Linked DNA regions of Caenorhabditis elegans. The protein of the gene in region 1 interacts with the protein of each later gene in a pairwise test. Each region holds a gene or a part of one and is shown on either strand. Other genes may lie near its edges. The genes, in order: Y106G6H.6 and srv-4.

The links.
Region 2: the proteins of Y106G6H.6 (region 1) and srv-4 interact in a two-hybrid assay, tested with the Caenorhabditis elegans proteins (one large-scale study listed by BioGRID).

Annotation. Positions count from the first base shown.
Region 1 is NC_003279.8:10,442,855-10,447,835, forward strand, and holds Y106G6H.6 (TPR_REGION domain-containing protein), read right to left. Parts: upstream 3,190-4,981; coding exon 3,067-3,189; intron 2,935-3,066; coding exon 2,674-2,934; intron 2,562-2,673; coding exon 2,364-2,561; intron 2,145-2,363; coding exon 1,903-2,144; intron 1,445-1,902; coding exon 1,189-1,444; intron 1,134-1,188; coding exon 996-1,133; 3' UTR 813-995; downstream 1-812. Other genes in the region: pdpr-1 (DAO domain-containing protein), read right to left, coding at 1-131, 177-287, 642-691; sec-8 (Exocyst complex component 4), read left to right, coding at 3,823-3,900, 3,947-4,085, 4,130-4,192, 4,239-4,377, 4,426-4,514, 4,641-4,783.
Region 2 is NC_003282.8:4,284,734-4,290,063, reverse strand, and holds srv-4 (Serpentine Receptor, class T), read left to right. Parts: upstream 1-1,631; coding exon 1,632-1,793; intron 1,794-1,891; coding exon 1,892-2,107; intron 2,108-2,954; coding exon 2,955-3,113; intron 3,114-3,156; coding exon 3,157-3,261; intron 3,262-3,754; coding exon 3,755-3,936; intron 3,937-4,447; coding exon 4,448-4,537; intron 4,538-4,590; coding exon 4,591-4,642; downstream 4,643-5,330. Other genes in the region: F15E6.5 (F-box associated domain-containing protein), read right to left, coding at 3-497.

The DNA.
Region 1 (4,981 bases):
TGCAAGTTGTGGCGAGATGTGAGTACAAGTCGAGTGAAGCTTGAGCAATTGCTTGAAGGCTCGTGTCTTGCCAGAAAATCGGCGAAGAAACCAAACCGGCTGAGAGTCCCGTGGCTCCGGAGCATCCAATTCTAAAATGTTCAGTTATTTAGAGATAAATTTCAGATAAAACATACGAATCTTTTTCAACGAGTGCCACCTTCTTTCCCCGTTTCGCTAGGTGATAGGCGATTGATGTTCCCGATATTCCACCGCCACACACCACGACATCAGCGTTGGCGACTGCTCTGAAATCAAAAAAAAATTCTTCAAAATTTCAACAGAAAAAAAAGCCGAGTTTTGATAGAATTTGAATTTGTTCTCGCCGTAGCAGCTGAAATACAGTTTTTATTAAATTATTACTCTGATGCATATCGACTTAAAATGTACCTGAATCGACTTATTAATGCGACATTCACGACACAAATTTGCAATTAAGAGTGAAAATCGCTGCGACAGGGACTATTTTACGAAACTTCAATTTTAGCAAAACTTGGTTTCTTTTTTCATAAAAAATGTCGCTCGTTTCGTGCCAGTTTCAGTTATTTTCAGGTTGAAATTTTTTTCAGCGTAAAACAGCTTTGAAGTCGCTTTTTACATACGTTGTGTAGCTTCTTGCCCATCTCCACCTCGCTAACCGATGTCCAATCATCACATTTATGTACAAATCCTGAAAAATTGCTCGAATTTCTTGAATATAGTGAGAAGTACTTTCGAAAGAAAAAAGTATTTAAAACAGGGTGTATAGACCCTTTATTCTAACTTCAATTGAATGTTCTTGTAAAAATTTATATATTTTTTACGTAAACGGCAAAAAAGAACGACGCGTTGAAACGATGATGAGATGAAAGAAAAGAGAAAAAAAACTGATTATTGAAACATAATATTAGAGCAAAATGAGAATCTGTAGATTCAGGATATAACTTAGTTAATGACAATCAATCGATCAATTATTATTAATAAACGATTCGTTGTAACATTGATTCGAATCGCTTGAACAACTTCATATTTCCCATTAGATGAGCCAGATTTAATCCAAGTAAAGCCACGTTTTCGAGCATCACTTCGTCGAGTTTTCCTTCTTTGAGAAGCTTCTGAAATAATAATTATTTAATTTTTAAAATTATCTCTTTTCCTTTCAAAACTTACAATAACATATTCATGTGCCTTTAGATAGTTCCGTTTTCGCATATATGCCATGACTACCAGCATAGTTGCTCGCTGCCGTGCTCGAGCACATTTTGCAGCATTCATCACTCGCAGTGCATATTCGATTGCTCGATTGTAGCGTCCTATTCCGATCATTCCTTCAGCTTTGTATGTTAGAAGAATCGCCAAATCATCCTGCCACTCACCGGCTCGATCGTACCGTTCTACGGCGAAATTTACAGCTTCTATGGCTTCCCTGGAATAAAAAACAGTGGGTTAAGAAATACATCATCGCTTTTTTCCCAACATGGGTCCGAAAAACCCAAATTTTATGATTTATGAGTTGATAAGAATGTATTAGATTTCTATTGCCGAATTTACAGTATTGCAGTTGCTGGAAATTATTTAATTATCACTCATTTTTGCACATTTTGGTTTTTTTTACATGTTTTCTCGTGGATAAGACATTTTAAACGACTAAAAACCCCGTCACAAGCGGCCAAAATATGAAAAAATAATTATAAGTTGACGAAAATTTTAGGTTGTCATGAAAAAAAAATTAAAATTTTCAAGACGATTCATTTCAAAAATAGGGATTTTAGGGCGTTTTGGGGTCAAAAAAATTCGTTTTTTTTTCTTGAAAATTATTGCTCCCGCTGTAGCAGTAGCACAAATAAACATTCTTTTTGTATCTAAAAGGCAGCTGAAACTTACGAATATTTTCTTAATTTGAGAAGCATGAATCCGTGAAGAGCCGCTGCAGCATAATGGACAGGTTCTCGGCTTGATTGTTTTGCCAAAGCGAAGCACATCAGTGTAGCTGTTTCAGCGAATCGAAGAGTCATATCCGGATGTCGAGGTCGCATTTCGTTGCATCGCCGCCGTACCGATGGCATATAATGATGAGGTTGCTTTTCGAAAAGACGATCGTAGATATCATTGAACTCCCAAGTCTCCTGAAATTAAAAATTAAAGTTAGTTGTTCAGATGGTGCGGAGATTCAGAGAAGTGTGGCTCTCTTTCTTTCGGAAATTTAGATAGAAATATAGATATTTCCAATTTCTGAACATAATGTTACTTTTAATGCTCGGAAAGAAATTCCTGAAAAATAGCTATGGGAGAAATGAATTTTATAAATTTTCCGCCCTACTCTGCTGAGAATGATCAATTCTCACCTCGTAATACTCATAAATCAAAGCTTCTGAGATCCGAATCCAGACGAGAACATTGGTGTTGAAGTATGGAATACATGGCCGTAATCGTTCGAACATCTCTCGATAACGTCCATCGTGATGTGCTTCAAGACCTCGGCTATACAGCAACAGAATGTCGCGTACGGCGAGGTCCGCTGGGCCATGCTGAGTGTATAATTCCTGGCGGCATTATTAGGGTCCATTCAAATAGGGGAAACGGGACGTTTTTTATTGTTTTAAAAATTTTGGCTGGGGAGAACAAACTAGCATTAAAAAGTATTTATATTCTTACCTCGGTAACCATCTTCCGCATTGCAGATTGCTGCTCTTCTGAAAGACAAATTGCGCGACGTTTGAAACTTCTTTTCATATGGGATATCCATTGGGATGCCATTTTTGACGAAACCGTTGTGGCCGTACTTGAAAGACCAGTTGACATACCACTAACTTCACACCCTTGATTCATTCGAATATTTTCCATTATTTCGCTGAGATCTGGATCTTCCGACACACGATCTTCTATTAGCTTGAAGCACTCGGCAGCTCTTTGGAACTGAAAATCATGAAAATTTGGAAATTTTGTGGGTTAAAATGTTAAATGTGGAGAAAAACTATTTAAATGTGTATTTTCCGCTGAATTAACAGCAGAAATTCCCGGGTAGATCAAATAATGTGCAAAACGTACACTGCCTTCCGCTCCGTTTTCCGCTTCGATTTCTCCAACTATTAAATCAAAATCAGACATATTTTCAGGCATTATCGGAGATGACATTCTCCTTTCCCTTCGTTCTTCTTTTGGTTCCGTCATGGCAGAGCTTCCTTTTATACTTTTTCTCAGAAGCTCTGCAAGCTCATGCAGTCGTTTTTCCAGGATTAACGGGAGAGATGGAGCGAATAGCTGAAATTATAAATATTTCTGACAAAAATGAATGTTTAAATACGTATTTATCAAATAAACGAAGAGAAAGTTGAAGTAAAATGAGAAAAAGGAAAATGAATTTTAACACAAGCGGAGTACTGTATTTTTTAAAGGCGCATTGTTGATGGAACACAGCGGCTCTCGTCACGATATATATTGTGTTCTCCTCGTGGACAAAATTTAATTAATTGTTGCATTATCGGATTTTCTATTTGTTGACGGTTTTTCATTATTATTTATTTATTTTTTGCAAATTAATTTACTTTAAAATCTCATAATTTATTTAAAGAAAAATAAAAAAAATGTGTTTTTTCCAATTTCTAATAGAAAAGCAAGTGTATCCATGCGTATTACACTGCCCAGCGTGCTCCCGGCTATTCGCGTTCGATATATTCGCGACCGGCGGCCGACGTCAAATGAAAACCTAGGCCGTTGTGTGATCAATTGTTTACTTGTTTTCTCGTACATTTTATTGGGCGAAATCACATATTAATAAACTTTATTTCAGATTGAGAGCTTCCTATGAACGAAAACGGGGCTACTCCGGTGGCGGCCGCTAGAAGGCATCGACCATTGCCTGCAGAGAGAGCAACATCGAACGTGAGCTATCGAAAAACGGATTATTAGTTTAAAATTGATATTTCAGTCAAACGAAACGGGTCTTTTAATAAATGTAATCCGATCACTAACATCGTCAGTTTCGGAAGATCAACGAGAAGTAGAGAAATCGAGATTAGAAAAAGGATATAAAGAATCTGGAGCACTAATCGATCGTTTAGTTAAAAGTAAAACCTTTTTTATTCTTTCAGCAATACATAAAATTGTTCAGATCATCAACAAGACGTCGAAAAATGTTTAGTTTCATTTCGAGATGTTTCTTCAAAAATATCAAGTAAGAGATTAAATTTTAAAAAAGTACTTTTGAATTCAATTTTCAGATTGTCGAGAACGTATTCACAATGTTCGGAATGCCCTACACACAGTCAAAAGCTTATTGGAATTACGGAGGGATGACCTGAAAAAGCTGTGGCACGAGAATGCACAGCAAAAATCAGTTTGCGAGATTATGGCAAAATTGTAAACAAAAATTAATATTTAATACACTGAAATTTCTATATTTTTCAGAGAAGAACTTCGAGAAGCTCCATCAAAAATCGAGAATCTAATCTCAAAAGAACAATACCAACAGGCAGCTGATACTGTTACAGAGTCTAGTGAGTTTTTGAATGAAAATGATGGAGAAAAGAAATCGAGAGAGAGAGAGATAGAGAACTATAAAATCGCTGCGGCCCTATTAGCGATGGGAATATTCGCGATTTTATGTATTTTACATTTTTCAGGAGAGCTGATAAATGGACGATTATCACGAGTGGAAGGGCTTTCTCATTTATCCGCAGAAATTGAACGATTTACTAAAATTCTCATCGATAAGATCAATGATACACTTGTAAACATGTTAGTTGTGGAGCCTTTTGAGAAACACGTGAGTTTATAATTATTTAAAAAGTGGAGTAACGAAATTTGGTCTCAAAATGGCCTAATATCTCAATTTTCCCATCTTTTCAATATCACATCGGTGTTTTTTTTTTCGTTTTTTCAGTCGTTGGGTACACAAAACTTGAAATATACCATATTTAATGAATAAACGATCAAAATTTGTAATAAAGCGGGATAATTGCAA
Region 2 (5,330 bases), on another chromosome or scaffold:
CTCTAATTTTCTTCTGGTTGAGTAAACATTTGGAAATAACGACCTTCATCAGAGAATGTTATAATCGCTAGAGTTTCTTCGTTTCCCTGAACTACATAAACTTCTTGAGCTGCAATATTTTCTTGGGCATTCAATTCAAACTCTAGAACTGTCGTCTCATATTTCAAACCAGCTAGTAGTCTATTTATGAATGGTCGTAGATGGCGGTTTAGTTCTGTTGATATTCTCGCCGAAAAATGTTTCAATAAAGGGTTGGACCCGTTCATCCAGTGCTTTATGAATAAGTTCAGTACGTTTGGAGTCAGTATGCATTTGACTCGTAAAATACAACAATTGATGATCAATAAATCATTAAGAGTTAGAGGATAGTTGGATGGGATTTCAAGAATTTTAAGATTGTGTTGAAAGGTTTCTTGAACTTCTTGATAAGTTTGAATTGAATTGTCGGGTAATGGATACCCTTTAAAGACGATTTGCTCAGCATTTGATTTCAGCATTTTCAGATTTGAAGTACTCCTTTTAAATGGTTTTAAGTGAAGACATTGGAATTCCAATCCGTGCAGCTCTTTTTGTATCCACCGAAAACTGTTCTTGTTGAGGTAGACCTCATCAACCACTCGTTGATGGAATATACAAATGTATCACAAATTCATTCACCTTCAATTTCGGATTAACTCATCGGAATTGAGTTGGAGTGCATTTGCTGACGGTTGGCAGTACACCATTCAAAAATGAATGTGGGTTATTAAACATTCCCGCAAAAATACGATCACGGTTTGATGGATCTGTGAAAACGAAGGATTTTTGAGTTTCCAGACGTGAAGGAGAGACAGATTCTGAAAATAAATCATGTTCTAAAAATAACAAAAACCATTTTTTATTTGCATAGATAATTTTTTACTGGCATTTTCTGTCAAAAAGGTTACTCAAAATTTTTTAATTAGTCGAATTAACGAATCTAGACTTGTTTACCAAATAATTTAAAATTACAGTTCATCGTTTTGGATTTAATTTCGAACTCACAAAGATAACAGATCCATCGATTTCAAAGCATTTCTCAGCTGTCTAGGTGGTAGATTCAAGATTTGAAAAGGAACTTTATCCATTTGGGATAATTCAAATTATAGTAGAAATGCTAAACGATGAGAAGAGCAAGGAAGGGGCTAGCCGCCTGACAGGCAAGTTGACTCGCGGCAGGTATCCTGCGGAAGCGAGCCACGAGGAAATAGTGTTAAGCGATGAAGAGACCCATACATTGTTAGCTAATATATTCGGCTATTCAAATTTTCCGAAAATCTTGTCCTGGATGCGGGAATGAGAAAATATTCCGTTCTCGCAATTTTTGTATTTGTATATGAATTTTGTATAGTTACACAACAATTTTAGTCAGAACAATGATATTCCTCGGGATCATGTGAAACAAACTGGTCTCGTCAAACGTTGAAATTAATGTTTGTTGCCATCTTGTTTAATACTTTACTTTCCTTTTTCCAATTTTCCCCAACACAACACAAAAATCACCTGCTCACCCTCTCTCAATCTCTCAAATTTTCTCTCTCAACTTTTCTTATTTTCCCACCATTCTTCATATCTTCTTGGAATGACACGTGTTTTTGGTTGATGTCCTAAAAATGCCGCTCTCCATAAATCTAAGTCTACTCCCAATAAGTCATTTGATATTTATTCCGATATGCTGGTTTTCTGTGTTTTTGTACCTGCGGGTTTTGTATATTATTCACCAATTAAGAAAAAATGTTTTCAAATCGTCGTTTTTCTTGATTATCAGGATGCATGTAAGTTGAGAGGTTTCTTCTTGGGACAGTGCCTTAGAATCATGCTGCATCGGTCCATTTTCCCATTGAGCAAATTTAAAAAACCCCTAGAATTTTAGGCTATCACGGACCTCCTTATGTTCCTATACGTGGAGCTGGTTGCTCGCCCACGCAAATACCGAGTTCATAACCTATTCGAAGCAGCAAACGATCATTGGATTCCTCAGCTGTTGTGGTTTTCATTGACAGTTATCAAAAATGCCATGTTCCTAGGGTATACGGTAGTTGCCGTCAATCGGTGCTCCGAGATATTTCGGTTTAGGAATCATGTAAAGGTACATTTCGGCTTTATGAGAAATTGGTGTAATTTTCTGTGAACTTTTAATAGAATTTTCCATATATATTGGTCAAATGTTGAGCTCTTTAGGTCAATGTCCTGTGAAATTTGCTTGTTAATTTCGTAGCTTCTTACCAACTTTCTGTAGCTATTTTTTTTTTGGAGAAAATAAAATTTATTTAAAACAACCATTTTCTCACAAAGATCACTTCGACTTTATGTTCTCCACAAGTGGCTAGTTGTTTGATGATTGTATGAGTCCGAGCAGGAGCAGATGTTCCATATGTGCATCGTGATGACCAGTCATGCAAGAGCATCCAGCAGCAGCTTCATCATTGCAGTGTGCTGACCATTGAGCCCAGCAGCTTCAGGAGGAATCCATTGAGCATCCGGGAGAAGTGAAGAGCCATGTCGTTGATTTATGAAGTAGCTTTTTGGCATTTTTGTGCGTTCTTGGTAATTTTTTGTAACTTTCTGTAGCTTTTTTGAAAATTTATTATAACTGTATGTGACTGTTTGTAGCTTTTTTTAATTTTCTGTAATTTCTGTAACTCTGTACCTTCTTCACAATTTTATGAAGATTTTGCCAGCATTTTATAATTTTTTGAAACTTGTTGTAGCTGTTATCCAACTTTCTGTAGCTATTTGGCAATTTTTTGAGAGCATTTCAAATCTTCTTGTAACTTGTTATAGCTTTTTGGCAACTTTTTGTACCTTCTGCGATTTTCTGCAACTTTCTGTAACCTTTCATCAATTTTCTACCTACTTTCCGTCGAATTTCTGCCCCCTCTCCACAATTAAACGCCAATTTTCTACGCAACTTCCTTTCATTCAAAATTTTCCAGTTCTGGTCTCCAACCCTTATCCTAATAGTTTACTTATCTGAATGGCTGGCTCCAACAATTGTATTAATTCCACTATTCTACACTGGAAATCACAATTTCTCACTCATCGCTGCCCCTTCTGGCGGATTGTTTCTACGCGCCAGTCCGGAGTTCATCAAAGTCTGACATGTCTGAAATTTTTTTAACTTTTAAATTTTTCTAGCTAGATGTGCTCCAGGACCTCACTTTATCGATATTTTGCTTCCTGGTCAGCTCATTTTTGTATCTCATCACTTTTGTGCATTTGGTGCAGACTTTGCCGAAAACTGTGGGTTACTGTAGCTTCAAAAGTACGCAAACACCTAGAGATTGAAGAAAACTTCTAATTATACATCATGCTCGAGCAGAGAAACCAAAATGTTCCCGGAATCACATTAATAACTTAAAATGTAATGCCAAATCTAAAAAATATAAACATAAATAATATATTTTGTCAGTTCAAGAATGAATATTTCGAAAAGAAATTACACCTGTAGTCAAACGAAATTTTTTTACACACTTGAAACTTTTGAGAATAAATTTTGAAATGCATAAACTAAACGTTTTCTGTCAAAATAAAAAAAACCAGGTGTTTCTAGCATTAATTTAAAAATTTCTAGGTTACTCTAGCGCTAAAAGTACGCAAAAACCAAGTGACTGCGTACCAAACACCATAGGTTACTGAGAGCTTTCAAGCTGAAATTATTCGACAAGACTAATTGAATAACAGCGAATACAAACTTCTTACCTAAAATTTTCAGTTCATTCAGTATTACTTTCAGATGTCAAACACATTCTTCAGTATTAATCGATCGGAATCTTCAAATCTCAACCCACCAACAGACCTAATTATTTTCAAATGTGCATTTTTCTCATTTGTTCTGTTTGTGCCAAATTTCGCAAAAACAATGGTTTTATATTTCTCCACTAATCCTCAACTGGTGGATATTGGAACGGAACTTTGGTAGGATTTGAGAAAAATTGCTGAAATTCAAGTTTGGAACTGGAACTTTCCAAATTTGCATTCAATCCAAGAATCTCTGTCAAATTTCAGTGGAATTCCAAAAAACGAGAAGTCCCTAGCTTGCATTTGAAAATTTTGGGGCTACTGTAGCGTCAAGAGTACGCACGATTGCGTACCAAACACCGAAATTCACGAAACTGATTTTAAATGAAAAATTTTCAAAAAAACAACAATAATGAAGTTTATCCCGAAGTTTTGAAGAAAATGACTGAAAAATTACTACCAAATTCTAAATTTCACAACTCTTGTCAATTTGAAAGCATATTCTGAGAATCTTAAAACTTCCGGATCACTGTAGCGCCAAAAGTACGCAAACGCAGAATGATTGCGTACCAAACACCGTTTTTTGTGAAACTTGGAGCTTTCGAGCTTAAAATTGATGGATACGCAAATTGAAACATGGTGAATTTGAATTTCACATCAAAAAGTTACGAACATTTCATTTTCCCAGGTTCTTCACTACGGAAATAATGTGCATCAGTTCTCCGTGGAGCTTACTAGTGAGTAGCTCAAAATTGCGAAAGGAATTTATACCGAAAAGGTTGGTTTTTAAGAAAAAAAACTAAAAATAATTTTGAAATTTCAAAGTTTCAGATGCAGAAAACGACAGGAAAATATTTCTTCAATGTTGTCTACTAGATTTTAATATTTTTACTCGACTGCAATGTTTTTTTTGTGTTTTAATTTGTGAATAGTCTTGTAAAAAAAATTGTAAATTTTTAGAAAACAATTGTATATCAATTTGAAGTAGACAGTATGAAACCCGTTTTTTAACTAGAAACACTTTCAGAATTGACATGCTCCATCTTTTTTTCTGTAAGTTATAGGTCTGTTATCATCAATGTTGCGAAACTGTTTGCATAGATACCAAAGACTGTATTAATGTTGCCATTTTCTTTCTACTCTGATAATGCGAGCATGATTTTTGACGAAGGGTTGTTTGATATTATTTGCTCATTGACTCTCTTCATTAGGGAAATGATTAATAGTTTTTCAATGTTGTCGAATCAAAAATATACCTATTTTTTGGAAGTCGTCGATCAAAAAACATTTTTCTACCTGTTTTATGTTTTAATTATATTCATATTTCAAAATTGTAGGGGTTCGAAAAGACGCCTGTGCTTTACATTTTTAAAGTTTCAGTATTTCTTTCCCCAATAGCCGTACTCTGCCGTATAAGTTATGTTATGTAACCCAGCGGTGGGTGACAAACTGGCAAATTGCCGATTAGCCGAATTTGCCGAAAAAAAAGGCAAATTGTTGTTTTGCACATTCTTTTTTGAAGCTTTAGAATTTCAATTTTAGTCTGCGAAACTGTACGCATAATATGAATT